Linked DNA regions of Caenorhabditis elegans. The protein of the gene in region 1 interacts with the protein of each later gene in a biochemical or structural test. Each region holds a gene or a part of one and is shown in the gene's direction. Other genes may lie near its edges.

Evidence for each region.
Region 2: the proteins of nlp-64 (region 1) and npr-32 interact in a test that uses a peptide from one of them, tested with the Caenorhabditis elegans proteins (one large-scale study listed by BioGRID).

Annotation. Positions count from the first base shown.
Region 1 is NC_003284.9:304,412-319,524, reverse strand, and holds nlp-64 (Neuropeptide-Like Protein), read left to right. Parts: upstream 1-8,213; 5' UTR 8,214-8,261; coding exon 8,262-8,362; intron 8,363-10,509; coding exon 10,510-10,663; 3' UTR 10,664-10,763; downstream 10,764-15,113. Other genes in the region: M02E1.4 (uncharacterized protein), read right to left, coding at 4,898-5,104, 5,998-6,073, 6,179-6,249; gcp-2.1 (Glutamate carboxypeptidase 2 homolog), read right to left, coding at 11,294-11,410, 11,455-11,581, 11,626-11,910, 12,498-12,866, 13,204-13,348, 13,675-13,856, 14,298-14,391, 14,438-14,549 and 2 more.
Region 2 is NC_003282.8:17,220,264-17,237,945, reverse strand, and holds npr-32 (G-protein coupled receptors family 1 profile domain-containing protein), read left to right. Parts: upstream 1-6,887; 5' UTR 6,888-6,889; coding exon 6,890-7,029; intron 7,030-7,502; coding exon 7,503-7,609; intron 7,610-7,739; exon of another isoform or gene 7,740-7,760; intron 7,761-7,950; exon of another isoform or gene 7,951-7,971; intron 7,972-8,155; coding exon 8,156-8,221; intron 8,222-8,310; coding exon 8,311-8,449; intron 8,450-8,554; exon of another isoform or gene 8,555-8,575; intron 8,576-8,950; exon of another isoform or gene 8,951-8,971; intron 8,972-9,130; coding exon 9,131-9,288; intron 9,289-9,316; exon of another isoform or gene 9,317-9,337; intron 9,338-9,471; coding exon 9,472-9,590; intron 9,591-9,609; exon of another isoform or gene 9,610-9,633; intron 9,634-9,841; exon of another isoform or gene 9,842-9,862; intron 9,863-9,941; coding exon 9,942-10,031; intron 10,032-10,036; exon of another isoform or gene 10,037-10,057; intron 10,058-10,294; exon of another isoform or gene 10,295-10,319; intron 10,320-10,442; coding exon 10,443-10,592; intron 10,593-10,953; coding exon 10,954-11,090; exon of another isoform or gene 11,091-11,111; intron 11,112-11,485; exon of another isoform or gene 11,486-11,510; and 9 more. Other genes in the region: Y116A8B.4 (Ovule protein), read right to left, coding at 12,959-13,050, 13,809-13,926, 14,099-14,167.

The DNA of each region.
Region 1 (15,113 bases):
TCGTGTTTGAAGCGGATTTCCGATCTAAATTTTTATAAATTAAAAAGAACCTTTTTCCAACAAAAAAAATCCAAAGAAAAGAGTTGAAATTCTTCGACTCTTCTCGACTTTTACTCAATTTTCACTCGACTTCTAGAATAATTATTCTAGAAAAAGTACGCTTTCCAACTTTCCTTCTTTTTTTCTCATCCCAATCCCTTCCCAAATCCCTGCACCTGTTATGTTTTGCATGCTCCCCTTTGTGTTTGAACATGGATCGGCGGATCGAACGATGGATGGATTCTCTGGAACTGTTACTGGAACAGTCTCTCGTGCTTCGGACAATCAATGGACACTGCTACATCCCTCTCTCTTTCCCCCTCCCCCTCTTTGTTGGAAAGTTAGTACGAAACTTCTGAAATCAGAAGTTTCTCAATCATTTTCTCATTTAGTATCAAACTTCTAAAAACAGAAGTTTAAATATAACACCGCTAGGACAACTGTCTGAAACGGGAGATCGGAATTGAGGCTTAAACACATCATACACCGTACTCAGAGGTAGCGAATAAAGGCTAATGACCAACATCATGCTAGTACTTCTGTTCCTAACGAACAATGAGAACCGATGTTGGGCCCATACTGCGATACGATCGGGCGGTTCTTGCTCTATGGAATACTTGGGTGATGATGTGCAGTTCTTACGGTGTAGAGCATCACATGAAGAAGCAACTCCTATTCAAAGCTATCGCCACCACCTGCATAATCACCAAGCAACAGCAAGGAGCAGCAAAAGGACGACCGTAAGACGTAAGATTTTGTTTGTCTTTAACATTTTTGATTCAAAAATTCGAAATTTAGTTCTCAAAAATCAAAGATTCCAAAAAATTGGAATCAATTTTTTTTTTGCCAAACCCGAATTTTTCTTTTAAAAAAATCCTGAATAAAAATTTCTGAAAATTCAGGATTTACAAAAAAGCCAAGAGCTAAAGATTTCAGTGGATTCATTCGGTCGGGTATTCCGGAATGGCTCCGGCCACAAAACTGTGCCTTACAAAACTGTGTTTTCCGCAACCATCACACGGTTTCGAAATGGAAAACATCGTTTTGCAAGGCACGATTTTGTGGGCGGAGCTAATCCGGAATACCCCGACCGAATGAACCGCCCCGGAATTCTTCCCCGGAGGCCCAAAAGGCCTTCTGATGAAGTGGGGGGAGAGCTGACCGCGTGCTCTTCTACTTCCCAGGAGCAAACTTTTCGAATATGCGGCCCCGTGTGAAGAACTCAGAATCATTATTTCCGGTAATTAAAAAAGTGCTTTTTTACAGAACAGAAGAGAAAAAAAAAATCATTATACCAAGCCAGGCCGGAGGCCTGATATGCGATTACTCTTAGATAAGTTTTATTTAGAAAGCTTTTATTATTTTCAGTTTTCTAAAACAATCCCCATTCCCGAAGGGCTGGGGGGCCCACAGGCGTTCACGATTTTCCAAAAAGTAGATATGTTATTCACTCGAACCTAATAACCAGGTTTGAGGGCCGCAGGCCCGAACACTCTTGGAAACTATGGGCTGGCTTTGATCCTATTCTAAGCAGATATGTTATTCACTCAAGCCTAATAACCAGGTTTGAGTGCCGCAGGCCCGAACACTCTTGAAAACTGTGGGCTGGCTTTAATCCTATTCCAAGCAGAGCAGGCCGTATTCATGAGTTTTCCTTTTCCTTCACCGTTTTTTGTAGTTCACAGTGATGATTGAAAACACGCTTATTTTATTGAATACATTCAAATTATTCTTGAACAAAATCTCAGCCTAAGTTATTCGTACAGTGCCGGTCCTGGAGCAATGAATCAAAGTTTAAAGGCGAAGCCTCAAACCTGAATAGTCAAGTTTTGTAAACATATACCCCACTCCTGAAATAATTTCAAAGAGATCTCGAATAACCCGTTAACAGGTTCGAGGCGAAGCCGAGAACCTGCGCCAGCTACCTTGCTAATAACTTAGAGCGAATTAACCCTATCCCCATTCCCGAAGGGCTGGCGGGCCCATAGGCCCGCTAGTCTTTCTCGATTTTAAAACCAGGGGTTTCAGTTGTTTCTATTTTTTCTCCGTCACTCTCTCACAACTCTTTTCCGCCGGTTCGAGTTTTTCCGCAAGTAGATTTTTCCGCCGGTTCGAGTTTTTCCGCAGGTAGATTCTTTCCGTCGGTTCGATTATTTCCGTTGGTATATTTTTCCCGCCGGTAGATTTTTCCGCCGGATCGAGTTTTTCCGCAAGTAGATTCTTTCCGCCGATTCAATTTTTTCCGCAAATAGATTTTTCCGCCGGTTCGAGTTTTTTCGCAGGTAGATTCTTTCCGTCGGTTCGATTATTTCCGTTGGTATATTTTTCCCGCCGGTAGATTTTTCCGCCGGTAGATTTTTCCGCCGATTCAATTTTTCCGCTATACGCTATACGCTATACTCTATACGCTATACGCTATACGCTATAAGCTATAAGCTATACGCTATACGCTATACGCTATACGCTATGCGCTATACACTATACGCTATACGCTATACGCTATACGCTATACCTTTTTCAACTCTCCACCACGGGAAAATTTTTTGCGAATTTTTTCATCCCAAAAAAAAGGAAAAAAATAATGATGTTCAACTCTCCACCACGGGAAAATTTTTTGCGAATTTTTTCATCCCAAAAATAAAGGAAAAAAAACACAATGACCATTAATATAATAGAACATACGCAGAGAAACATTTGTTCAAAATAGTAATGGGTATTTGTGTAGTATACCCCAAAACTGCTCACAATTTTAAAAATTTTACCCTGTATTCTATATCAGGTTTAGGATTAAAGGTGGAGTGCGCCCAATGGGGAAATTGCTGAAATTTAAAAAAAAACTGAAAATGCATAAAACTCTGAAATTACGCGATCCGACGACGACGAGCCTGAAAATTAATAAACATTTTGCATTTTTCTTGTTTATTTCTTTCATTTTTCGATTAAAAACCCCCAAAAACGAAGAAAATCAGTGAAGTAATGAAAATAAATAAAACAAATTATTGAAAATAATGCAAGCGCGCTCCAACGAACGAGTTCAATTGGCGGAAATTCAAACAGGAATTAGGGGAAAACTGAGATTTTTTCAATTTTCAAAAAATCATATAAAATCTAGAAAATTTAAAAAAATTTTTTTTTATCATGATATTCGGTCATTGTGATTCCATAGGCGTGTTTTAAAGCAATTTCCCGACAGGGTGTAGTCCACCTTTAAAGTTGGGAAAGCAAAATAAATGGCTCTGATCAATTCAAAATTGTCACCGAAGCTGAAACTTATTAGTGAGACTTTATAACTTTTGGATTTAAGATAGTTTGTTATTTTAGAAAAAGTTGCAATTTTTACAGCCGTAAACCGTATTTTCCTCTTATAAGTCTTATACATCTAGGATCAAAAATTATTCCTGTAGCTTCTATTCATTTTGTACTCTAATGTACTAATAAGTTTACACCGTTTAGATATGTATTTTATTAATTCATTTTTATACGATTAGTCATGTCAGGTTAACCGTACTTACTAAAAAAAACTTATTTTGAAACAATTGTTTTTTATTTTTTGTATGCCATTAGATTTACTTTGAAAATAAAGTGTTAAAAATACAACTGAAAAATTAGATTTATATAGGTTACACATTCTATGGATACTTATCTTAAACTTCAACGTTAAAAAAAATAGTGAATCGGTTGAAAATCACATAGCAAATCATCAAAAGAAACAACCATATATCATTGATTGAATGAAGAGAGAAGTAGATTAAAAAGATGAAGTAGATGTGGTACAAGAATTTGATTGATGTGTTGATGTGTAGAAACGGCAGAAATGTGTTGCTAAGAGTTCACATGTTCAAATAGTCATTCTCTAACAAATTAAGGGTTTTTATTCTACCGCCAGACTTTAAAACGAGACAAGTGGCAATTTAAAGTTCTCTATGAAGATATTTCTACTTGATCTGAAATTGTTTCAGTGAATTTTTTAACTACTTTGGAGGCCTATGCAATTACTCCAAAAAAACGTTTTTTTTTGCAAACTTTCATTGTTTTTTTTGAACGTTTAGAAGTATGTTAACATTCTGGGAGATTTTGGAAAAATTCACTCCACTCGGTCCAAAAAATTTCAGATTTTCTTCAAAACAAAAATAAAAATTTCCAAAAATTTCCTAAAATGTTTACCTACTCCTAAACGTTACAAAAACATTAAAAGTTTGCAAAAAAATTTTGAAACAAATCTACAGGTCCTCAAAAAAGTGAAATGCACTGAAACATTTTCAGTTCGATATTTATCGAGGTTGAGAGTGGAACTTTGCTGCTTAAGGTTTTTTTCAATTTTCGATTTTTATGCCCATTTTTTAATAAACCTTATTATAACGATTAAGATCTAAAATCCAAAAAAAAATTGGCTTTGAGATAAATCAATGAAGTGATTTAAAATTTTGTTTAATTGAATTTTGTTTGAAAGCTGAAATTTGCCATTGAAGTATAAACTTTTTAAAAATTGACCAATAATTATTGAAAGACACAAAACAAATATGAATAACAGTCAATTTGTAAGTTCAGAACTCAGAAACAAAAGGTTCACAATTTTTTGTAACATAAGTAAAAAGGATGAATTAGCAAACATTCATAAAGCATGGGCTTTTAAAACCAAGAAATAATCATACTTGGTCCATACATAGAATTAATGGTTTTTATAAAAAATCAAGTTCCTAAAACCTTGTTTTTTGTAAAACGTTCGATTTAAGCGATGAAGTTATTTATTCGATTATTTCAAAAACAATATTTTGAAATTCAGCACTTCAATAAAAAAGTACCCATAAGTTTGAAAATTATTTAAAAAATGACATTACAAATTTACAATAAAGAAATTTTAAGAAAAGGTCAAATATTTTCCACCTTCTGTCAGCACTATTTTTTTATATCTCAAATGTGGAGGCACATAATCACAATGGAAAATGTGCTGAAATTTTTGATATGTTCGTTCACGGTACATGAACCAATATAAATTCCATGATGCTTGACTTCTCAGAGGTGCAGCTTCATATTTATTGTTAGCATCCCATTTTTCCAGTTGTTCCTGAGAAATTAACAGTTTTACTCAATTAAAAAATGATATTAAATTATTGAGAATTGTAGTACATGTTTTAATACTTATCAAACCATAAAAATGAGTTTGTTTAAAATTGGGATTTTCGCTTTTTTATGTTCTAGAACGTTTTTTACGTAAACTCGTCGCTTTAGCGAATATTTTCAAGATGTTTTTAAATTTCCATTTTATAAATTCACATATTTTAGAAATTTATTAAAAATGATCACACTAAGCATGCACTCCTACATTAAGTTTTCAGACGAGCCCGCTTACGCTGTTGACTTTAATGTATATATATATATTTTTTTCAATAAGAATTTTTACTGGAAGCTTGAACAAAATCTATTAAAATTTTTTTGAAAAATTTGACAGTTTAAATACTTTAATGTGCAATAAAGAATCAGACAACGCTCGGCTTCTCGAATTTCGATCTAATGTTTTTCAGTTTATTTTATCAGTAAAATCGAGGCCAATTTTCATGTTTTTAGTATGAATGCATAGGTGAACATTTTGAAAGCTTTTCAAAAAGTTCAATTTTTTGAATGATTCTGAGTTTTTTCACCCGAGTTAATCAAGAAACTTTCAGATTTTTGCGTCTGCTTTGAAGGAATTTGATGACACCGAAATCGGGATCCAACTAAGTGATATATTTCGACATTTCATCGATTCCGCACACCACAATGTTTGGCTCGCAGTGCGCGTGGCGCGCAGTTGTACCAAAAAATAACCAAACAAAATGGGGTGCTGAACCCGCGAGATGTCGGGATATATCACTTGATCGGGGTTTTGACTACATCCATGAAAACAACGCTCAAGTAACTTAAATTTGGAAAAGTTGTTCGTACACGCCACGCAAAACTAAAATCGAGTTAGTAACTTACTATTTTTGCATCATTCGTCAAACATTTACTCATTTTATAATCAATATATGACTCGAAATACTCAGTTCGTTGAATCCTGAAACAATGGAACAAGTACTTGGAATAAATGCGCTAAAGCATCGTCACTGGAAATTTTTTAAAAACATATTGATTTTATTAATGTGAAAGTAAATAAACTCACAAGTAGTTTGCTAAAACAGCAAAAGTGAGAGTAACAAGGCAAATGTCAGATACTGTCTTCCAGTAAACCATAACTGAAATAGAATTTTGTTTGAAAATTTGTTAAAGTTTGAATAACAAGAAGAAAAGTTATGTGTCTTTCGAATTTGTTGTTGAAATAATTTTCAACTGAAACATCATATTTTATATAAAAACACAACAGTTGGTCCACTTGTTTTTTGTGATAATTGTTCATAAAAAACGACGCGTCGTACTGATAACAAGAGTTGGGTAGCAGGCAATCATTGTACCTTGGTACTCATATATGTGGACAAGCAACAGAAAAGCGCTATGCAGTGTAACGTAACAAGCACAAGACAGTGTGTTTCTAACTTGATTAGAGCGTATTTTCAATTTGCATTATTAATTCTTAAATTTGAACTTGAGCATATGTATTAAGGATCCGGACCAGGGCTGTGCAGCATCCGAGATTTTCGGCAACCGGCAATTGCCGAAGTTGCCGAACCCTGAAAATTTCAGCTTGGTTGCCGGTTACCGCACAGCCCTGATTCATACTGTGAATTCATAATTCTATTGATTGCTCACCGAGAATTCTGAAAATTAGAGAATATAGGTGATCAAACGTGAACTTTTATTTAAAAACAGTTTCGTCTTTTTCTGATGTCTCTAAGCCATATAAACCCAATATATCACTTTTTTCAGTCGAAATCGTATTTTTTACTAGATAACATATAAAAATTTTATTTTGTTTATTTTTACTAGTTAATTGGTCCAAACAGTGTTTATTATGACAAAAGAAAAACGCAACGAACAACAATTTATAAAAACATTACTAAAAAAAACTGTTAAAATACTATCACGATTGTAACCCAGCTGTTGATAACAGGAAGATAAAAGTGTTGTCAGAAAAAAAGTGGTTTCATGTGACAAAACACACGGTTTCTTGCTACAAACTTTAGTCAATGTGGTTTCTACACAATAATCTAGAGATAACATATTTTCTTGCCCTAGATGGGAAAATTTTTTGCGAATTTTCTCATCCCAAAAAAAAGGAAAAAAATCCCATTGATTTGTCTACATAGGGCATCGAAAAGCACCCAATATTTAGAGAACAGAAGATTTTGAGAATTACTGCCTTCAGAAATTGACAATTTTCTCATTGATTTGTCTACAAAGGGCATCGAAAAGCACCCAATATTTAGAGAACAGGAGATTTTGAGAATTACTGCTTTCAGAAATTGACAATTTTCCCATTGGATGGTCTACATAGGGCATCGAAAAGCACCCAATATTTAAAGAACAGAAGATTTTGAGAATTACTGCCTTCAGAAATTGACAATTTTCTCATTGATTTGTCTACAAAGGGCATCGAAAAGCACCCAATATTTAGAGAACAGAAGATTTTGAGAATTACTGCCTTCAGAAATTGACAATTTTCCCATTGGATGGTCTACATAGGGCATCGAAAAGCACCCAATATTTAGAGAACAGAAGATTTTGAGAATTACTGCCTTCAGAAATTGACAATTTTCTCATTGATTTGTCTACAAAGGGCATCGAAAAGCACCCAATATTTAGAGAACAGGAGATTTTGAGAATTACTGCCTTCAGAAATTGACAATTTTCCCATTGGATGGTCTACATAGGGCATCGAAAAGCACCCAATATTTAGAGAACAGAAGATTTTGAGAATTACTGCCTTCAGAAATTGACAATTTTCTCATTGATTTGTCTACAAAGGGCATCGAAAAGCACCCAATATTTAGAGAACAGAAGATTTTGAGAATTACTGCCGAAGTTGCGGAACTCTAAAAATTTTGGAAACCGGCAACTTGGTTGTCGGTTGCCAGTTCAAAGATAGTTCGAAAGTGGAGCGCAATTGGAAGTCACAAGCCGCTCGTTTTTTTCAATATAATATCCGTGAATTTTTCCAGATACTTTAAAAATAATGATGTCACTATGCCTTTCTCCGCTCACATCAAAATACCAGAGACTCCGCCCCAAGGCGTCAGGATTTCTTGCTCATTCACATAGCTTTTTCAAGCTCTCCTCGTTTCACTTGTGTGTCTATATTCCAATCTAAAATGATGGCTCAAAAAACGCTGATTATTGCTGTTATGTTGGTTTGCTCCATTTTGCAGCCAATGCTTGCACTGGGATCCCTGACTCCGTCTGCCGCATTCAGGTTACGATTTTTTCAACAAAAAAAAGAAGATGAATCTATAAACATTATTTATAAAATGCACCTTAACTGTTCAAAACACAATTTAAAATTACTGCAGCTCTAATATAAGTTCACAGTTACGGTGCAGAATGTTCTGTTGCAAATTATGTTGTAAATATTGGTGGGACCCACTTATAAAAAACGTATGCTTCTAAGGTTGATCAATTATTAAGCACCAAGTGAACAAAGTTTACATTTTTCTTTTTTTGTTTCAGTTGTTGAAATAGGGCTGGCAAACACTAATTTCTACCCTTGTCGCAAAATTGTATAGGACATGTTTTGAAAACGGTTGAATTTTTGCGTCGAATTAAATTTGAGCCTGTCATTGTTTTTATTCGTCGTTTTTCAGTGTATTCTTGCCGAATATTTGAAAAAAATGGTCAATAAAAGGGCACATTTTTAATAAAAACCAACTGTACAAGCGTATTAGGTAAATTTTATTATGTCAGGCTTGGCCTAGTTTAAATGAGTCATTTTTCTATTTTATGCTTGTACATTTGCTTTCTAATCAGATATTTTAATTTATTCTTACTATTTCTACATGAAAAATCAATAAGTGGTACAAAAGAAAAAGTAGCATGCCATGCCAACTTTCATGACAACTGAACAGAGTTTTGTCTTGTTTTTTCTTACTACAGACTGGGAACATAGCAAAAACAATTAAATTCACCACCTCAAGGTATTTTGTTTTTCAAAAGTTAAGAAAACATTACCTATATTTTTCAACTGCTACAAAATTCTGATCTATGTACTTTAAATTTCTTAACAAAAACACATGCAAGAAAGCATTTTTCTATTAACAATTGTTCCCACTCTAATGCGAAAATGCAAAACAAGAAATGCAAAATGTAGCCAATAAATTCCTAATAAAAAAGAATTGCATGTTTCGCAAGCATCAGCCATTGTTGATATTGTACAGCAATTAATGAAATTAATTATTTTTGCATGCTCGTTTTTCCTGGTTTTTTATGCTGCTTCATTAACGAATTGCTAGAAAACATAATTAACTCTTATCTACCATATTTTGAGAGCACAACACCTTGCCAGGAGGAACATTAGTGTAAGGAAAAGTGCTTGTAGTAGTAACCTTGAGATTTGGGCTGTGCGGCTTTTTTTCGGCGCATCCCAATATTTCATTTATACGCTTCAAGCCAATGAGCCGAGAGGCGAGAGACAAATCATTCGGCTCTCGGCGCATTGCAAATGGTATGGAATGTTGTGTACACTTTTTTCAAGTTTCATTTTTTTTAAATGAAAAGCTTATTGCTCTAGCTGTTCAACTAGTATAATCATTCGCAAACTCTTTCTTGCTAAAACACTGAAAAAAAGGAATATTCAGATGTGCCGAGAAAAGAGCCGCAAAGCCCAGCTTGAGATGCGATTCAATTGTTAAAATGCACAATCTGAAGGGTTTTCACGTGGCTTTCTGGAAAGAAAAAAAAAATTATGAAAATTGTTCTGCAGTCAAAAACTATGTTTCCGAAGTGGACAACATTTTTTCCGAGAGTAGCTTATACGTTTGCTAATTTATTTTGATATTTTGCAGAGATTTGGTTTTATAATGCAAGTTGTTCATTATTGCAGAACATAAAAACGTTATCTTACTCAACAAATGTTTTTTTGACAACTGCCAATTTTCATATTGCCTTTTACAAACTGGAAAACTGTTGGTACTCCCTTCCAAATACAAAACATGTTGAAACGTAAAAACTGGTACATATAATTTGGTACAACATTAAACATATAATTTCCAGTTACATGAAGTCCTTTTTTCACGAATTTTTGAGAATCCTCACTTTAAAAAAGGGAATGAAGTCATGAGTAGAACCCAATTGCATTTCCTATCCCCCGCAATGTAGTTTCTTTTCACTTCTATTCTACAACACAATTTAGGCAAGATCTGTTGCGGGTTTTTCATGAAGCGAATAAATTTTGTTCGTAGATGAAACGGCTGGATACTACATACGTTCTTAAGGTTGAACAGGGTTTAAGGCATGAATAGTGAGTGTTATAAAAGAGATGAATCTTTTATGTTGTCTCTTTTTTTAAACTTTAATTGAATTTTGAACTGTTGAAAACTTGTTTAATTTATAGTACATACTTTCCAGAGCAAACATGCAACAGCGAGAACGCTCGCCGAACACCTTGTTTTATATGGATGGCGCTTCGAAACAATATGGCGACGAGATTAAGGACCCAATCTACAAACGTTTCAAGCCTTGTTACTACTCACCAATTCAATGTCTCATCAAAAGAAAGTAGGATATTGTAAGCTATTGTCACAATTTTGTTCTAAAAGCTTTTATATGTTAAGACGTTCCGCCACATTCCATTTTAAGACGAATGAAGTGATAATCTGTTGAAAATATTTGTTGTCTATTACCCAAGTGTTTATCTAATTGCGACTTTTCCATATCCGATCACAATGCGCTCAGTGTGTGAGTCGCGGTGTCCACATTGTGCATAATTTTATTTTCAATGTGCCCACATTCTGCTGCGCCCCTGTAAATTGACTGTGATACGATTCCTTACAGGTCCCATTGATAGAATCATTATTTCAATTTTTAGGCGTTGTACCGTAATGAGGTGTTCTCGCGGGACTCAAACAAAAGCCCTAACTTTTACTATTTACCAAACTGAGAAGTTATCTCAAAATAACATTATAATCAATTGTGTGGAAAGTGTGGTGAAGCACGAAAACACTTCCTCAAATTTTTTGTAATATATTTCCGATATTTCATAATTTGTTTGATCCTATTATGTTGAATTGTTCCAGCTATCTGGAATGCTCTGAGCCCAATCTTCAAGCGTTACATGTTAAAACTATTTGGTACTTCATTTTTAGAGATTCAGTTTTATAATGTGAATTGTTCATTATTACAGTAAAACCCATCAAATAACATCACGTAGAGTGTTTACAACGCAAATAACAGAGTACTGGACAATGGAGATTTGGTTGATTATTTCCCTCAAGCCTTTTTTGGTTGGATTCAAGTCGTAACTGTTGATCTGAATGAAGTTTTCTTTAGCATAAATTATATTATATCACTAACCGCATTCTGTACTCCTGCCATTAAAGAACTCGAGTATGAATCAGAATCGCTGACTGAAAACAGGACATGTCTAGCTGAGGGATTGTGCATTGAAACGCCACGGGGGTTGATGAAGCATCTTTCCGTGCTGAAAACATAATGTTTTTTTTTAAATATGATAAAGTGGCAAACCTCTTTAATCTCTCATTGACCGCATTCACGTGTTTCGGGTCGTATGGATTCTGAGAGAAGCTGTGTTGTGTAAAATGGATGGTTTCTTGGAATTTTTTTGACATTGTAAGTAAATCTTGAGCACTTTTTGAGAGAAGTGCATACTGTGTGCGTATATCTTCGAAATCGCTTCTCGAAACATTTATTCCGGAGATTGTTGTTTTCAGTTGTGGGAGATAGGTTTTCAGCATGACTGACGCAAAATGTGTGGTATTCATTGGGAGAATTACATCATCCGCAAACGTCCTGAAAAAAGTTCAGTTCTATTAAACCCTTAATTTTTATCAATATTCGGAAACTGAACATTTTGCATTGGAAATTATTTTTATATGCGGATTCAAGATATTAAAAAAAAAAAACCTCCAGTTCCCATGTTTTCTTCAATTTATTATCAAAACTGATCACGCACAGTCTAAATCTTAAAAGGTTGACCGCGTCCCTGGGATTTTTTAAAATTTTCCTAGAAAATCTCATTTTTTGACTTTTTTCAAAAAAAAAACAAACAAGTGACATAGAAACCGGGTGGTTATTAGCTCAATTTTATCTCGGTTTTCCTATTTTAATTAGAATCGAAATCTTTATTTTAACTAATTTCTCACATTTTAAGGCATTAAAGCTTAACGAGAAGCTCACAAATAACCTATCACGTATTCTAAAATAGTAGTGCCAATATATGAGTTTATATCTAAGTTATAGCTTGACTCATCAAATTAGTCAGATAGTGAAGTTTCAAAAATAGCCCCACATGTCAATAAAAAACAGTAAAGGGGGCCATTTTTCAATAAAAATTGCCAAAAACTGAATTAAAAAAATTTAGCTCGAAAAAAATTCACTTCGCCAACTCAGCCCAATACTGCCCAATTGCTTTGTGCACTGATAAGTTGTCTGTATCCAATAGATGAATGTTGGAAAACGGCGTCTCGTACATTGTATGGTACAGTGGATACGTGTCCCATGTTGTGTAGTTTTTGAAAGTGAAGTTGATCACCGGAACACCAGCAAAATTCAAAAATGGCGCGTGATCTGATCCGCCGCCGGGAACTCTTATTTTTGGAACACCCGCTTTCTTATCAGGAAACACTTTCATCCACGTGTCATAGAGCGTTTTTCTTCCGCGAGATCTCTCACGTTTTGATGGATTTTCCACTTGTTTTGATGCTTCAATGACGGCGTGCTCGAGAATCGGAACTGTGTCGACGTGCCTAAAATTCACATCAATTCACTTGAAAAGTATGATTTCACTCGAGCGAGTAAAAAGGAAATTGTATGAGAGCCGGTTAGGGGATGGAGTATTGAAAAAAAAAACACATTTTTCAAAACAAGTTCTGTTATTAAAATGTATAAAATGCCAGTTAGATATTTAAAAATAACTCCTATGTTCAAAACTTGTTGAAATAAAATATTGGTGTTTTCAGATCATTTCAACTTGTTTGAGTTATTTTAAAGACGAATTTGTTCAGTCATATCTGAGCAGTCAATGGTGCACATTTTTTAGGCACTGTACACCGTCAGTAATTGTTTAAATAATATAAACCTTACAGACTTATGTTTCCTTGAATACAATCCATGTTAATATAGACCACAGCTCTTTTCTGCAAAATATTTACAAATTCTTCGACGAATTCTGTTGATCCAATAAGTCCAAACTCTTCGGCATCCCATGCGTTGAATACGATAGTGCGAGCTAAAAAATTAGAATAACATCGTATCGTCATTTCTAGCAAAATAAGGGCAAATCAAAAACTGAGATGTTTTATCTACCGAGCTTTTTGAAAAAAAAAACATCATTTCGAATACAAGAGTAGATCAAAATACGTTTTGGGAATTAGTTCTGATATCTCAAGAGTTGGCGCACAGAGCAAAAAGTTCAAAACTGACCGCCCGGGCACTTAAATTATTCGGTATGCTGTCTCAGACACCAATATTGTTTATTCATGAAAAAGTTCAAATATGCCTGAAACCCTCTCAAACAAAGGGGTCTCAAAGCGGTGCATCATAAAAATTTCAGACCTGGTTTCCAACTGGTTTCGTTAATAGTTTGCATCATGGCTCTCGCAACCTCCGCCAACACAGCTGTTCCAGAATTAGGATCAATTGATCCATAGACCCATGCGTCGAAATGGTTTCCAAGCATAATATAGCTATCGGGCTCTTCAGACCCACGAATATATCCAATAACATTTCTAATTCGTCTGAAAAGGTGCTATTTACTTTTGATTAGTGTTGATGTGTGCCAATTATTTTCGGCAGTGCTACAAACGATTTTATTTGACAAATAGTGTCAAAATATAGAAAATCACTTCATCTGAAAACTAGAAATTTGGTTATATTAAACATCAGAGAAAGGCGCCCAAAGCCAGCGTTTAAGCAGTTTTTCTAGCGTTCCAGCCAAAAAAAAAAGACTATGCACAGGTATATCAAGTGAATTTCTATATTTTAAAACTATTTTTGCAATTGGACCTTTAATTTTTTAATTCCTGGTACTTTTGTAGAAATACAAAATGTTTGTCTCTACTAGTTTCGTTTAGCTCTTCTCTTCTTTTCCGAAAGTGGTGACGTCATTTTTCATACGCTCAACGCTTTCATTTTGTGTCTCTTCAACATGCAGAAATCAAATTTCCAAACTAACTCACTTTGTCCTCAGCTCACTGTGCACATTGATGGACAATTTCTCTCCATTCACAAAGCCTGGACCAAGCTTGTAAGTGAGGTTTCCACCGACAAATCCTGAAGTCTATCAAAATATGACATTATTTTTTGGAGAGGGAACAACCTTGCCAGTCCGATGGAGCCGGCCGACCGGATAATCGTTTCAGAATTTCATATCCTGTTGTATAGGAGACAGGGAGAACTGGTATTGAAGGTAGAACGCCGTCTTCTTTAGCCTAAAAATGTAATAACAAAATCTGTATGATTTATTTTCATCAAAAATGTTCAAAAACCAAAGGAGACTTTTTTCAAGTTTTGTCAATTTTTTGAGATTTTCAAGGTATCATCATGAAATTTAGGAAGAATAAGTTATTTTTAAACCGCTGAAAGTACTCAAATCAATGTAGTTTTCATTAATTTATTTTGAAAATGAACATTTAATCCAAACGTGAAATTTAATTATATCTTTAGGTTTTGAAAACCACTAGTCATAAGCCTAATATAGCCATTAACTTTTTTGGGCAGGTTTACTACACAAGTACCTAACACCTACCTCTTCAATAGTTCTTCCTTTGAAAAGTTCTTTTTTGGAAGGATAGTAAGGAGAGAGTGCATCTCCATCTCCATGCATAAGGGATCCTCTCTGAACACCCTCATTAGGCATCCAAATTTTTTTTGGATAAACATTCTCTGAAAAAAAAACTGCTCTTTAAATTTGAATCTTGAACTGCTCAACTTGGAAATGTACAGCTTCACTTCACCACTACAAACCTGATTCTACACCATCCTGAGCAACATCC
Region 2 (17,682 bases), on another chromosome or scaffold:
AATGTGAAAAATAAAACAATCGTACGTTTTTGATATGAAAACCCTTTAAGATATTGACCAAGATCTACGAGCATTCTAGTACTGCTGAAACCTTCCTCAAAAATTTATATACTTTTTGGAACAGTAATTTTTTTTCCGAATCTGAAATTTCTTTGTATCAACTTTTCTGTAATCTTTTGTCCCGTTTTCCAAGAGTACCATTGTTCCAAAAAATCAGTTTCCCACGAAAATATTCAAGAATCACATGTCCTTGAGACTTTGTGTTTTTAACTGAAAAAAAAAAAACAGAAGAAGAAATAAATATATAAAAGTTCTCAAGAACCTCTGGAACAAATGAGCAAACATAAATGTTTTGCTGCTCAACACTTCCTTGTTTTTAGTTTTATTTGATTGTTGTCAGGTTTTTAATGCCTCGAACAGGAAACTTTTTTTTGAATAAAATTTAAATTAAATTAAAATTTCAAAAAAGTTAAAAAGTTGAGCCGAATAATTTTAAATTTTTGGCAATTTATATATCAAAAAGGTGAAACAGTAATTTATTTAAATCCTTATTTATGTTTCAAAAAATTCATAGCCTTAATTTCTATTTTTACTTCTTCTTCTCCTCCTTTTTTCTTGAAAAATGTTTACGTCACATTCTTTTTTGAGACTTAACTGAATCAACCTAACTGACCGCGAAAAAGATGTTTTGAGATAAAACGAGACAGGGGAAGGAGCTAGTATTAAGCTCAAGTTTGAAACATCAACTCAATTTAGATTCGATCTAAAATTTCATTTTTTTCGTTGAAAAAGCACGTGGAGATGAAATGTTGCTTTTTTCAATTTTTAGGTAACGCTAGAAAATTTTTTTTTTAAGTCATTGATGAGTTTGCCTTGGCTTTGGATTTTTAAAAACAAATCTGGAGTACGTATCATTCAAAAATGTTTAGAAACTTTTTTAATGCAAAATCTGAAACAGAAATCATCGTAAAAAAATCCTGAAAAAAAAACTTGAGAAAAACTTTGAAAATTTTTTCTGGTCATTTTGGAAAAGTTCATTACGAAAGTTCATGGAATTAAAATAATTTTTTTGTTCGGATGGAGTTTTCCTTTTTTGATTCATTTCCCGTGTAGGGACGAATCTTGTTTTTCAAACATTGGAATGTTTTAAACGTTTCAGAATTTCAATTTAAGCAGAAATCATGCTGCAGATACTCTATTTGAATAGACTTCACCATTACTTTTTCAAAGTGCAGAATTCAATTTAATATCACCAGCCGTGGACCGCACCTCCGGCTCGGCCCCCGACTTCTGGAGCAGAAAACCAATTTTTCTGAAACTACCGTAATCATACAGTACTCCTACCGTACCACCATTGTACCACTACAGTACCCCGACTATTTCCCTACACTAACCCCAACTCACTATCCCTCCAGAAGCTAAAACTTCGCAGACTACAAAGACTACATAGACTACAAACTATGGACAAACGGAATAAGCGCTTTATATATAGTAAATGATACTATATATAAGTAACTGCCTTTTGTGTCCGGTTCCGGTTCCAGTCTAGCAATCCTTTTCCCAGTTGATTTTATCACTTCAAAGCAAACATTTTTAACTCCATACAAATTAAAAAATTACTCGCGCTACTAAAAATTCAACAAACATCTTCTCAACATACTGGTATTCTTCCAAAGTATGTTATGTTTTGAACCATAATTTTTTTCTTCAATTTTTACAAAAAATGGGATTTCGCAGTGCTATTTAAAATACTCAAATACTGATGCAAACATGTATATGAAAGCAAAGACCAAAAACTTCTTAAAGTGTACGAACATCCAAAAAAATTTCAAAAAATTTACAACTTTTTTGGAACAGTAAATGTTTTTCAGTTTTATATTTATAAAATTGTTTCAGCCTATTTTTACACTTCAATGTAGCTAAAAATTGCTATCTGAGCCCCCTGTTCGGTCCTACTGTTGGAAAAAATTTTTCTCAATATGTTCCCCCGCTTCATGCAGTTTTTATAAACCAACGAGGAATGTGCATAATGCTTGCAAAGTGGGAATTGAAAGCAGAACTTTTCAGCTACATTACAACTAAAATATTATCTACATTACAACTAAAATGTTATGAAGCAATTAATTTTTCTTTGAGACAGTAATGTATTTAGGAGTGCCGGGTTTTTTTCTAAAAGTGAACACATCATACCAATTAAACAAATAATTAGAAATTTAATGTTTGAAGATAAAAAACTGCGTTCGTTTCCAATGAATTCCCGTCAAAATTATTTATATATATATAAAAAGTAATTTTTTGAAAAGTTGTTCATGCGTCGTTTCTCTCTATTTGAACCATCTATTCCATTGTTCAGAACAATTTTATATATCTAGAAAAGTAAGTTTTGCATCTGTTTCGCCTATACTGTTGCAAAAAATTACTTTTTATTTCTTAAAAAATATCCCCGTTTCATGTAGTTTTCAAATTTCATTGATGTTTTACTCTACTATTCATAGTTCATTTTGAAAATAAGTAATTTTCCTCACTTTGCATCATTAATTTTCTCAATCCTAGATTTTTTTTGAATCAGTAATTTTATTTTTAGGACCAGTTCTGCCATTTCAAAGTCACAAACTTCAGCTATTTTATGCAGTTTTTCTAAAAAGATTACAATTTTTATGTTCACACATTATCAATCTTCTTCGGTAAAATTTATGTTTTCAAAATACTTCAAGAACGTTTGCATACCATTAAATAAAACCAAAAAGATTCAAAACAATTCTATGGATGTTTTAATTTGTGGAAAAATGCCGTGTAGAATTTCAAAGAGAATGGAAAAGGATCACACTTGTCACCTGCTTCCATATCTCAACCAAAATAAATTTTTCCAAGTTCATCCAGTATTAGGTTAAACTTGGGGTTTTCATGTAGTTCACTTTGCGAATAGAACTACATTCACAGAAAACTGTATAGTCAATCAATGATTATTTAGACTCTATGAATTGCGAGTTTGCCTATATTTCTTTTAAACTCCTTGAAACAGTCTGCTGCAAAACATATTTGAACCTGTTTTTTTTTGCATTTTCCAAACTTCAATATCAATAATTTCCACCTGAACACAAAAATAATTTTTCACCTGTTTTTGCTTCATTTGAGTTTTACAAAATTCCCGTTTTTTCTACAATTGTTGGACTCTAGAAGAATGAAATAAAATAAAATTGTCGTTTCTATAAAAATTCTGAAACAGATTTTTTAAATATTATTTTTTCAAACTTTTTTTAACACAACAGTTCCACATCAAAATTCTTTCAAACTTGAAATATAAATTTTTTTCTTCATAATGTAACCTACATAATGTAAGTACCCAAAAATAGCAGACCCCGCCCCCTTTTCTTCCTCCCACACCACAAAGAGCTGCATAATTTTTCACAGATATCCAGTTTCCTTTCTTTCTTTTTTTTGGCAGTTTCTGATGTATGTATTTATGGGATATTTGTGCACGGAAAACGTGAAAACTTCTGGGAAATTTTGTTTAGGTTTTGTCAATTTCAATACGTTTCAATTTCAGCTTGTGTGTTTAAACAAAAATTTGAAAAATTACCTTTTTTTTCGTTTTTTGGAGTAGTTGTTTTTATTTCCTGGGAGTATTTAGGCACAAAATGTTTTTTATACTTCGAAAAATTATCAAAAATTGCTGCGAAAATTCAAAATTATGTACCGCACATAAATTTTTTTAAAACTGTTTCAAAAATCCAATATATACAGAACGTTTGATGTTCATGTAATATGATCCACTTTTTATTTTCAAAGTTTTCTATTTTTATTTTGCAATTGCAATCGAGCATTTCTTGAAAAGATACTAAAAAAATTAAAAACTTCCACTAAAAAATGTTTCAAAAAAATTTACTGTTTCAAAAATTCTCTATATTCATAAATAAATGTTGATTTTTATTATCACTTTTTCGTTTTTAGGAACAGTTGTTTCAGAATCAGAAAAAGGTTTAAAGGTTAAATATTTTCCCTATGTATTTCAAAATTCTCATGAAAAAGTGAAATTCTTCGTTTTTTGTCACGTAATCTAATAATTAATGCATAAGAAACGGATACGTTTTTCTTCCAGTTTTCCCCACTTTTGCAACAAGCTTCCCTGATTTTAGGTCACATATTTCTTCCATATGACGAATTTATTTTTCGTTAAAAAAAAGTTTCTCGTTTCAAAAAAGTCAGGACGATGATTCCCCTATAGAAAATTGTGTTTAAAGATGAGAAGACCTAACTCGATTTTGTATTTACGGGTGTGTGCTGGTTATATGCTCTCAGAGCTCTTTTGAGTCATGATGGACTTTTGAGGAGGAGATTCTCAGGAGTAGACACGCGAAAAAGATGAGATTTTGGCTGGATTTTTGACCAAGAGCTTTTCTTTATTCTTCTAACTTTTGTTCTCTAAGCTGATTTAAAAAATTCAAGAATTTTTTGTTCCTAATTTTTTTACTGTTTCGTCAATAACTCTTGGGTTTGTGGGATTCACCATAACATTAATAATCCGAAGCAATTGAAAGGTTCCTTTCACTGAAAAAAAATAACGCGACGTCTTTTTTTGTAGAGTTCCTTCCTAGATTACATGCCTATAGGTAGGCGGGTAGGCATATTGTGCCTACATTGCAAATTTTGGGCGGAGCTTGAAAATCCGGAGTGTCGTTCGACAAAGTTTTTAAAATGCCCCCTTCTCCATAAGCTCTCATCCAAAACTTTTTCGTTGAATGAAAAAAGCGGAAATTGAAGAGAGAGTTGCCATTTTTGGCACACTTCATTAAACCGGCGGGGTAGTGGCGAAAAATCGAGTTATGCCTCTCCTCCCGCCATTTTTAGAGACGACACTTTTGTGATGGCTCTAGCTCAAAGTGACGAGTTTTTATTAGGATTAGATTTGTGAGGGTGGGAGGTGTGTCTGGATGTTCTATTAGTTGTGTATTACTTTGTTTTAGGGAAATTTATCAGTTTTTGGAAATATTGGAAAAGAAAAATCATAGCCACGTTGGTAAAAAATATGTTAGAAAACGTTGAAAGAAGCAATCCAACCGAATAATTAGACTCCTTCATTCATTAAGTTATACTTTTGAAACAGAAAATTTATGTTCCAAAATTTGGAATCTGACATTTTCATACTATTTCAACCGGACCTAAGTATCTTCACAGGTAATTCGCCAAATTGTTCAGTTGAAAATCAAATCGCTTTGCCGAATTCAATTTTTTCGGCCCTCGGCCGAGAGCCAAACACCCCCAAAATGCCGGCTCTCGGCACGTGCCGTGAGCCGAAAAAAATTACATAAATTAAATGAGAAAATGAATCTAAACACTTCGGCCACCAATTCTTTACACCTCGGCCACGCTATCATTAATTCCAATAATTACTTTGGGCCCGTACCAATGATTATATATTTATTACTATTCTTTTTCTTTTTTTCTTTCGTAAATTCTGATGATTGACCTTTTCCAAAGACCACAACAATTCCCTTTTCATTTTTATATGCTTTTTTTGGTCTGGTGGATCTCGGTTATACACCTTTTTAGTACTATGTTGGTTTTTTTAGTTTTTCAAAATATTGTTATGAGATTTGACTCTGCTAAAAATTGAATGCCAATTAAAGTTCCAAAAATGAACTTTCTTGATTTTAAAACTTACGTTTTCCGGGGGTTTTCTTTAATTTTGAGCAATTTTCAAGGACTAATTTTTAGTTGGTGGTGAAAAAATTACAAGTGAACAACATTTTTCAAAAGTAAGTACTTAGCACTCTTTTAGGTACTTTAATAGGTTATTTTTCATGTACTAGATTTGGTAATAAATTGTCAGACTAAAATTTCAGAATTAAAAAAAATCGACGGTTTTTTAACTTGATAGATTTTGTGACCAGAATCAGAAATAGTATGATTTGTTTGTACGCACTTTTCTATAAAAATGGAATAATTTCAGGCTTTTCTACAAAATAATAGTTAAAGAATTTTTTGTTTTGGTTTTTTCTTATTTGTATTTTTATGCTCTCAATTTTTTTTTCAATTTTTGTAGCTCCTTTCCCTACCCTGAGGGCTCTTTTTTCATTCATTTTTTATCGAAAAAAAAAACGAAATGTTCTATCATCTCTTCACCCTTCATCTTTGTTCTCTTTTGAGAGCAGCCCTAAGATTTTCTTTGGCAAAAATGATCTTAATATTTTGGAAACTTTTTTTAAAATCCAAACTTCTTTTTTCTTGACATTTTTTCAAAACTTTGCCATCTTAACACAATTTTAATGCTTCACTTTCGCAAGATTTCATTTACAAAAAAAAACAAATTAAACCGGTAGTGCCTGCAAGATTTCTTGGCGGCCTACGTCTTTTAGACATTTCCAAAATAAGTTGAAACATGATTTTCTTGTTGATTTTGGTGATTTTCCACACTTTTTTCTCGAATTAAATAGGCGTATTTGTAAATTTTCAGATTAAAATTCTGTGTCACTTCCAGAACTCAATGCCTATTCTTCCTATTTCCCCTACCCATCTTTGGCAAAAATGAATGTTTTTGTCTGAAAATTGCTGAAATTCAATTACGTCATTCCGTCATTATTCTCTTTTTTGTTCTGATAAATGCTTTTCAAATTGAAAAATTTTTTAGAGGATTTTCTTTAATTTTTAATTTTTTTCCAAAAAATAACTGTTTCAAAATTATTTTTTAAAAAATGTTGAAAGGTTTTCATTAATTATTAGAAAACCGGCTCTCAAAGTCTGAAAAAGATCACTCAACATTATAAGAAGGCGTGTAGGCGAGCGTGTCTACCTTGTGCTCTTTTTTTTTTAACTTTTCGGTTCATTTCACGCCTATCTAATGATTTTTAAACTCAAGTTTTACATTAATATTTTATTTTCTCATTTCCAGATGAATATTTCCACAATTATCTCGACTACAACAACTCCACCAGCGGTTTCAAACGAAGATGACACGTCAAGAACCACGTTGAAATTGGTTTTGGCAATTTCCTATTTGGTTCTTTTTATAATTGGAACAGTCGGAAATGGGTAAGTTGTTAACTAAAAATAATTAATTGAAAATTTGCGAAATTTTCTTATTCACATTATGAATCGCATTAAATTTCAAACTCATAATATTTATTTCATGCTAGAATTTTTTCTATTTGTAGTAGAGAATTTTTAAATCAAGTTTTTTGTCTGCAATTTCACTAGAAATTATGCAAAAATAATAAACGACAAGTTCGAAACTACACAACACAACTAGCCATCGTTAAAATTTAAAATTGTTTTGAAACAGAAAATTTTTCGTATGAATTTTTTTTCCAAATTTTTTGAAGACAAGTTTTCAGAAATTTTATTGATAAAACAGTTTTTGGTCGACTTCAAATTTGGTAAATATTGTCTCTTTTAGACTAACAAAATTAATTTTGAACATTTGAATTTGAGAAAAGTCTACTTTGATTCTTGGTAAAATTTAGCATTGAAAACTAAACGAAACTCCTTATATCCCAAATTTACAGTACCGTAATTCTCATGATCATCAACATTTTGACATCTATGAAGCGGAACGTGCAGGCTGGAAAACGGATGATGAGCAGTACGAATCATGTGTTTATTTATGTTCTTGGTGAGTTTTTTGTTGAGATTTTAATGAAAATTAAATAAATATTTGCAAAAAAAAACAAATTTGAAAAAAATTGAAAAAAATTCTGTTTCAATATGATAGTTTCCCAAAAAATTTTTTTGGAGTTTTCCGCTTTGGACTTTTGAATGAAATTATCTCGATTTTTTAAAGAACTACTTGTTGAGAATAAACGCCGGGCCACGCCAATGGTAGCTAATAAGTTTTTGATCAAGACTCTTATGTGCAGATTCTTCGCATTTAACGGTTAAGTTGTCTATTGATAAACAAAAAAATTGTTACAGTTTCAAATATTTTTTAAACCTGTTGTATCTATTCAAAATTGTTTCAGTTAAGCATTGCCAATTATATTTGAAATCCAATATGTTTAAACTAAAATTTATACGCGAGTGGTCAATCCAGACTCCGCCCACTTAATGGCAAATATTTCGTTTTTGATTTATGTCTTTTTGAAAGCGGAACTATTTTCAGTCATCAGTTTGAAGTTTTTTCTTCTGTTTCAGAAACTAAACAATTCAAAAAAACTTACAGGACTCTCGATTGTTGATCTCCTGGTAATTCTGCATCTTCCGTTTCTGGTCGTAGATCTTTTGAAAGGTGAGTCCTATCCCAAATCTTTTGAATTTCAAAATTGAATTTTCGCCGATTTTAACAAATCGAAAACCAAAAAAAAAAGTTTATTTCAGGACAATGGCTATTTGGAGTGGCAATGTGCAAAGTGTACTGGTTTGGGGAAAGTGTCAACAAATTGTTGAGCTCTTTTTTGATGACAGTGCTCAGTTGGGACCGGTATATGGCAGTTTGCAGTCCGGTTAAATCTATGAAGTTAGTTTTGTGGGCGATTTGTTGGGTTTTCCAAGTAGTAAAAATATGACTGACTGGATTCCTACAAGGCTACCTAGACCTGCTAGCTTTGTGAGCTTGGGTAGATTTGTGAAACCCCGATAACGAATATATTACTTTGTGAGAATTCAAGTATGTAAATTCTCTGAAACAGTATTTTTTCAAAATTGAAAATAGCGAAACAAATACAAATTCTATTCGAGTTCTATTCAAGTTCTATTCGAAAATAGAACTTTAAAATTTGGCAGAAATTTTGAATTCGAAATTTTTGGCAATAAATGCTCGTGGGAAATTTAATCTGTGATATTTAACATTTCGGCACGACATTCAAATTTTGAGTTTTCAAAATGTTTTTTCTATAAATTCGAATTAGCGAACCATTTTAAATAAATATTGGAAAGCCTACAGTTTAAAAAAAGATACACGCAAGATTTTTAGCTGTTTCAGAAAGTTATTAAAATGTCCAATATTTTTTCAAACGAATTAGAATGAACTTCAAAAAATCTTATATTTTCGTTTGAAACCAACAAAACAATTATTAAAGTAAATTTTTCTTTTGAAACGGCAAACTTTTTTGGCTGTTTTCAAAATTTTTGAAAATTGCGAAGACTCAGAAGAAAGTCTGCAAAGGCTTAATACAAATTACATATTAATTTTTTTCAGAATGCGTAGCAATGCAACCGCATTGAAAGTCCTCCTGGCTTGTACCATATTTGCCACAGTACTCCTTTTACCAGTACTCTACGAGGCCGCCGTATTTAAAATCGATAAAATGAGAATGGTTCCGTTGTTGGAAGGTACGGAAGAACTGGCAGCGTCGGGTAGGTGGTTTTTATTGGAATTTTTCAAAAACATCATAAAGTCACGGGACTGAAACAACAAGTTGTTGATTTTTAAATAGAGACTCTGAAACAATTTTCAATAGAAATATTTACGATTGGATAATCTAGTGACATTGCGGAATATCGGAGCATCGTTTGAAATTCAGTTTTATCATTATTCAGACCTTGCTGGCACAACAATGTCAAAATGCATGTTCGATGCGGATGCCACGTTTACTCTCTACACATTTGTCATCGGATTTGCCGCCCCCGCATTTTTAATTATAATATTCTACGTACAGGTGATAATTTTTATAAATGTTCTGAAGTTAAGTCCATAAACCAATGTTAGAAATTAAACAGATAAAATTAAATTGACCTGTTGAAACAGTAAACTTTATTATTAAAAAAGAGAAGAAGAACTGTTCATCACAAATGTTCTATCTACATAACTTATTTTTGAAACAGTCAATTTTTTTTATTTGATAGGGAAAACATTAGTTTTTAGTGTTTCAAACAATTTTAGCGATAAGGTCAAAGTTTAAAAAAATTGCTTTAAAAATTTTTGATCTGATCGCAGATTCTTTTGTGATCAAAATTTATTGACATCCTGAACCATGCGAAATTTTTTTTCTAAAATATCGACCTTTCAGGTAATTTATGCTCTTCAAAAATCATCTCGAAATATCCGAGGTGCGCGAGGAATCAGCAAACCGGATGGAAGCTCGAATAGGGTCAAGAAGGTAAGGAAGTTCAAACTGTACGCCCATTGAAATTCAAAATTGTGTACTGTTATAAATTAAAACTCTAAAACAGTGTTGCTTTTATTAAACAAAAATTCATAGCAACAGTTTCCTAAATATCCAATTTTGGATTTTTGCCAGATTGGGGTCAGATAATCAACACTCACTAGTGAGATATCAGAACATCGTTCGTTGAAAAATTTCGAGTCATATTTAGTGAGACATCAATTTTAAACAAAATAATATTAAAGTTTCAAGTCAATTTTCAAAACATATAGTGTTCAACGAGTAATGAAGTACACAGTTGAGTTTTTCAACAAATATTTGAAACAGTAATTTTTCAAATTAAATTTTTGGCATTTTCATGAAAAATTCGAGCACTTCCTTCTCACTCAAAATTCAAATTTCTAGGTCACAAAACGAATAGTGGCTGTGATTCTTTTCTACTTCCTGTGTTGGACACCTCAATGGACACTGAATATCATGTCACAATTCAATTTGATCGCCGTTTCATGGATGACTCCAGCACTTTCGGCAATGTTTTTTGTGGCGCATTTGTTGGTAAGGCAAAAATTATTGGGAATTAAAATATGAAAATATTTCGAATGAAAATTCTAGAAACAAGTTGAATCAAAATAGTACATTCAAAAAGTTGAAATGTTTTAACAAGAAAAAACACAAAAAAAAACAATGTGATACTTTTTATTTCTAGTTTTTTTTTTGCTTTTTGATTGCCTTGTTTCCTGAATTTCTACTTTAAGTTATGCTTTTGCTCCTGTTGTGGACACCTGTTCCACCTGCTACATTAAAATAAAAATAAAAGTTTCTGTAAATGGAAACATTTTGAAGGTTTCTTATATGTGGGCCATTTTAGGCCATACAAATAAATAAAATACTGCAAAAAATCAGAAAAACATTCCAGGTATGTTTCAACTCGGCAGCTAATCCAGTTCTCTATGCATACATCAATCGGGAACTTCGTTCCCAACACGTCATGGCAATGCACAGAAAACGACACTCGTTAGGTCATGAGCAACAGCAACGATTAAATCAGGCGAGGTACATATGATTCATCATGAGCTAATTTAAAAAAATTTGTAAAACTATATGAAGTCTACCTGAAACAGAAAAAAAATTGTATTGAAACATTTAAAAAAATTAGATCCTGTTTGTCGGAAGTTTCACCTAACTTAAAATAATTGACTTTTTTTGTGGAAATTTGGTTTTCTCGACCTAGTATTTGAAAAGCTCTCAATTTTTTTTTCATTTTTACAAGTTTCACTCCTGTTTAAAGTTTGTTGTGATTTAGCTCAAGAAACAAATTTTTTGAATCTAATTTTTTTTACCGTTTCTGAGTATTTTCAAGTATTATTTTTCCAACGTTAATAATTTTTTTTGAATAATGATATTTCTGTTTCACAGAAAACACAAATTCCGTTAAATTTTTGCAAGCTTTATTGAGAGAACGCAATTGATACAATTGATTTTATTAGAGTGTGAATAAATAATACTACACCGAGTTCTATTTATGATGACACATTTCTATATCTCAGACTTTCCATGCAATCCCGTCCTTCTGACGCTTCAGCTACAGTTTTCTCGAAACTCGGCGACAGTGACGCCGGTATTTTCAACAGGTGAGTTACCCACTTGTGCTATGAATACAATTTTTGAATTTTGAAATATTCCAGGCTCTCAAATTTCCAACAAAACATAATTGCAAGCATTTTACACCGCAAACGAATAATACTGGTGGCGGATAAAAATATTCACGTGAGTTTTAGAATAAAAAAGTTCAGATTTTTTTTCTGAAGACTATGGAAAAATCCAGAACAACTCTCAATATTCAGATTGAAAACACGTCATCATCGACAGACGAGGATAAGGACGATTACTTGTAGACATTCTACTGGAAACTATATTTTTGATAATAAACTTTTCTCAAATTTCTACTGTTTAAAGACAATTTTAAAATAATGTATTTCAGACATCCATTAGAAATCTGCTAAAAATTTTGTTTAATTCAACAATTTGATTGTAGGTTGTGAGCTCTTGAACATTTACCAACTTCTAAAAACAGTCAATTTTAAATATGAAAAATAAGACTGTTTCAAAAATATTTCAAAACAAAATTGAAGATACCGGGAGCAGTGGAGAGTTTTCAATTAATTTAAAATTAGATAACAACTCAATTCAATCATTATATTACTTGTACTTAATTTTTTTCTGAATTTCTGTAGCTGTCGGTTTGAATGTCTAATTATTTTCGTAACTAGATAAAATAAAAAAAATAATAATACTGTTTCAAAAGATGTTAGTTGCTAGACTGGAATATGTAAAAATATTCTGTTCAAAGAATAACAACTAATGGAAACGAATTTCCCTTTTTTTAAATTAATTTTTTTACTTTCCAAATCTGATTGTGAGAAAAAACATTAAAATTTTATTTGTTTCTATCCAAAAAAATTCACGTGTATTTGCAGTGTCAAAAATATATGCGTTTTCAGTTTTCCTAGCTTACTTTTTGAAATTTCATTATAGTTAAATCGATTTTGAAACAGAAAAAAAAACAATTTTTGACAGAATTTCATATCGTTAGAATAAACAGTATATTCACACAAAACTAGATGTTCTCCAAACAACCTACGCCTGCCTCGCCAACTTTCTAAAAATAAGCAATAGGCAGGTAGGCTTGAGACAGGTAAGTTCGTTTGTAGACAAAGATAACAAATATTGATTTTTACAAAACTGTGTAAATGTTCAATTTTTGAGAACAATTTATATTAATCTCTGTTGAGTTTTTCCGTTTTAAAAAAAATAACATATCTGAAACAATCAAAATAAAAATTTTCCACTATGAAATTTTCGCGCGGAAATAAAGCGAAAACTGAAATAATTTATTTTTTAATATTTCTAACAAAGACTTATCAAAAAGTTGAAGAAACTGGTGTAATTGATGTTGTGTTGCGGGTTACTGTAGTCGTGCGAACAATGACCATCTCTCCGGGCGATGGTGGTTCTGAATTCGATATTTTTAACACTTGGAAATTTTTTTACGGTTTCATTGTATTTTTAAGAACAGTTATAGTGGTTAATACGCAATCAATCGTGTTCTCCATGAATTTTTTTAAATTCCAATACAAAGTTGTAATAGAGCTCATCATTTATTTTTTTATTTATTTATTCACTATTTCTTGGCTTGAAAATTAAGAGCAAAATGAGGAATAAAAATGAGATGAGGTAGAAATGTGAATGATAAGGTGACCAGATTGGAACATGTCCGAGGTCAGATGATACAAATGATTTCCAAGAAAAATTGATGAGAAAAAAAAATAATAATAAATAAATATGACATCATGTACAAATAAGTGAGGAAATGAGATCATACATAAGATTCAAGGGGGAGGCAAGAAATGCGCTACCAAATCATTACGTTGCCCGAATAAAAACTTGCACTCCTACATAGGTTTATTATATAAATGTAATGCCACAAATTTTGTTGTATTATTGCAATTAATTTAGAATACTGCCTTTCAAAATTGCAAAAAAAAATTCAACTCATAATTGTGCAATATTATATCGGAAATAATGGTTCCGAGAGTGTTAAACTATATTTGTTCACTGTTTCAGAAAACGTTCAGATTTCACTTTAATTTTGCTAATGCAATCTTATTTCGATCAAAAAATATTCAGAAAAATTTTAAAGAAAATTCTATGAAACTGAAAATGTTATTAACTGTTTTTAAAAGTTTTTAGAATTTTTTGAAAATAACTCACGAATTTGATAATAATTTGGTCGTTGACTTTCATTGGAAGACCCCGGAGAGTTGAAGGTAGAATTTGAATATTCTGGATGTCCGCTTTCTACCAAGCAAGTTGGAGTTGGAGAGGTAACCTGGAAACTGATTATTTTAAAATTATTGTCTTGCTAAAAAATTCATATTTTGCAAATTTCTGAGATTATCAAAGAAAATTTATCCACAAAAATGACAAGGGCAACATTACACTTCTTTTGTTGGGTTTTGGACCCAAAAACAACTAAGCCATCCCAGTAATAAGTAACTTACAATATATCTTGGACTCAAGTAATTATTTCCATACATTCCAAAATATGGAGCCTCTTTTTCAGATTGCATCGTTCCTGAAAAAATTCGAAGACCTTTTTAAAAAATTAAATGACGATCTTGATATCATGAAAAAGCGTGCGTCTTTAAATTAAAAAAAAACAATATAATTCAAACAAAAATTCAAAGGAAGTTATGTACGTTGAAACAATTGGCAACATTTTAATTTGATATTTAAATTTGTTTTGAAACAGTACAATTTTTTTTAATCAAATTTTTTGAAACAATTAAAAAAAACACCTTTTTTTGCACTATTTTAAATTGCCAAGCATAGTCAAATAAAAACGAGTCTGGAAAAGAAAATTTGATATTTCCAGAAGAAATTACGATTTCAGCAATTCCCAAATTTTCAGTTTGGTTTTTAATCATTTTTGAAACTGTAATTTTTGTAATTTGACTTTTTAAAAAATTTTGAATTAGAAAAACCGTTATTAAGACGTGAGAAAGTAATGGAAAGATTAAATTTCCAACTCAAAAAAGGTTTTAAAAATGAAAAGGTGAGTGGTTTGAGTGATACTGAAAAATAGAGAAGGAGGTGAAAAAGAGACTGTGTAAACAGAAAAAGGGGTGAAAAAGAGAACGACGGGAGTAAAAGACAAACATAAAACTGAATAAAAAATATGGAAAAGTAAACATAAAAATACATCAAATGAATACATTCGATCAATTCGGTAGGCGTATGCGCACATTCCGCGCACTTTCCGAGCGGTTTAATACATTTGTTTTTAATACGATCGGAAAGTGCGCGGAATCTGCTCAGAATGTGCGCGGAATGTGCGCATAATGCAGGGCAGCTAGAAAATGAGGAACACCAAAACGCAATGTGCGCGGAATGTGCGCATGATGCAGAGTGGTTGTGTTTCACTGCCTTTCGCTTGCAGTGTATTTTGATTGCCAGTGTCCTTGCTGCGAATTGAACCTGTGATGTTTTCCCTGAAAGTCTGAAGTCTTACCTGTTGAGCCGGCCATAACGCGTGCGATGTTAATAGCAGATAACGCACCATAAATAGAAGCACATGTGAAATTCAATGGAGAAACCACATAGAACTAACGTTGAAGCATTTTTGCCACATTAATTCACTAATAAAGGATTTGTCATTAGCTTTTGAATTTTTTTTTCAATGACATATTTATGGAAGAATGTGAATTCAACTTTTCATAATGAAAAAAGTTGTCAAAAACTTGAGTTTAACTTAAATAATAGAAGAGAAAAGTGGTCTCGCTCTAATTTTAGAATCTTCCGTTTTTCAATGAAAAATCACCTCACCGTTTTTAAGCGTTTGCATTTTTTGCTGTAGTGAAAAAATTAATGCAATTATTTTACTAGTGAGTAGGGCTGTACAACCGGACGTCCGGTCGTCCGAACCGGACGCACATGCGTCCGGTTGGGGGTAGCTATCCACGACGGCCGACAATTTCCGAGTTTCGCCACTCACTATAAAATTGCTGATTAAGAATAGTGAGTGGTGAAACTCGGAAATTGTCGGCCGCCGTGGAAACCTACCCCAAAACAGGACGCAGTGCGTCCGGTGGTGTCAAAATCGGACGACCGGACGCCGATTTGTACAGCCCTACTAGTGAGTAATCATTTCAGAACATGTTTTATATTTTTTGATAATTTTAGATATCTCTGATTAAGTGGGCAATTTATTCTAGATTTCTTCCCAGGACCTTTTAGTGAATTTAGTTTTACAACAGCTACATAACAATTGATTATTCATTCAGGTCAAAAAGATACATATACTATGGTAAGTTAGACTTACGAAAATTGTTAGATAAGCTGATTGTATTTAGTTTTTCTTTATTTGAAGTTATTTTGAATGAAACTGTTTAGGAAGAGGAGCCACATTTTCAATTTTTTAAACAAAAATTTGACAGTTACCATAGTTTTTTATCTTAAAATGTGGGACATTATTAAATTGTGGGACATTATGTAGTTGTAAATCAATCACGATAGACGACGTTACAACCTGTTGCTCAAATATGATATTTGGGAAAACATATTGGAACTCTACAGTGACATTGTTGGCATTTTACGACTATTTCTGTCTTTTCTCTTGACTATTATTTCCAGATATCAGAAGTACTAGTAAATATGGACAGACATAAAAATTAAACAACGTTAAAATATTCATAGAAAGCAGAAATTGAGCAATAGTTGTAGATTATCTAAGTCAATGTGCGCTGAATGTGCTCGGAAAGTGCGCGGAATGTGCGCAGAATGCATGATTTCTGAATGAAAAAACACACAAAAACCAATGTGCGCAGAATCGGCGCGGAAAGTGCGCGGAATGTGCTCAAAAGGCTAGCGGTGGGTAAAATGACCACACCAAGGGCAATGTGCGCTGAATGTGCGAGGAAAGTGCGCGGAATGTGCGCATACGCCTACCGAGAATGTTTTCAAAAATTATCTCAAACCTGAAAAATAAAAAATAAAAATATTTGAAAAAAAAGAAAAAAAATCACTGTCTCACTTGTTTATTATCAATTTGATTTTTTATTAAAGGATTATTAAAGGATTAATAATAAAATGCTTGAATAAAAATTTAATAAACAAATTGATTTCTTACAAATGGATTTTTTATTGCTATCTCGTCCCGGTTCCGTAGAATTTTCATTTGAAGTACTTAAAATTTTCACATTTACACTTTTACAGTTGCTTCACGTTTTTCTAGTCTGGAAAAAGAGTTTCACAAATTTCTTCTAGAAAAGTTTTAACACGAAAAAATCAAAAACTGCTTCACATTATTTTAATGTAATCCTAGTTTTTGAATTGACTACTGGACTGAAAAAAGGCCCAGAATCTATTTGAAAAATCCTACAGGGTGGCGCTCAATTACCCGTACAGAAATATTGCTGTGTATCTTGAACCTCAGAAGTCAGAAACTTATTAAAACTATTATACCCACAGGGTTCTTATGAGTTCTTTATATATTTTACTAACATGGTGTAGCGGTTATGTTACTTATGAGTTTATTATTGGAAGTTAAAGAATATAAAGAATAATGAGGATTAATATGTAAAAGATAGAATAAAGATAGAATAGAATGAGAGCTCATACCATCACCACTCAGGAACCATCATCACCACCACACTACCTTGCTCTTCTCTTCTTTCTTCTTCTTGGTGTCATGGGCGTGTCCAGAGGGCGTAACCAGATGACATGTTACTAGGGTTTCTAGGTGCAACAAAACATTTATTTATATCCAATACAACATAAATTGATTGAACATACACCAAATCCTAGGTCTGACCTTGTGCTTTGTGATAAGTTACCGCATAGGCGGGTTTCAGTGGAAGATATTCTGATTTAATTTATATCGTGAACAAATGATCCAATAAGAACAACCTGAAAGAAAAGATAAATTTTACAAACTATCTTATTCGAAAAAAAAAACTAACCACTTCTCCTCAATTTCTGGTCGGATTTTCATGTCCACATATTTTGGCCGCAAAGGAAGAATTGCTCCAAAGTTGGGAGTTTATCAAAATCTTCGTTTTTATTGAATCCTATTGTTTCAAGTTGT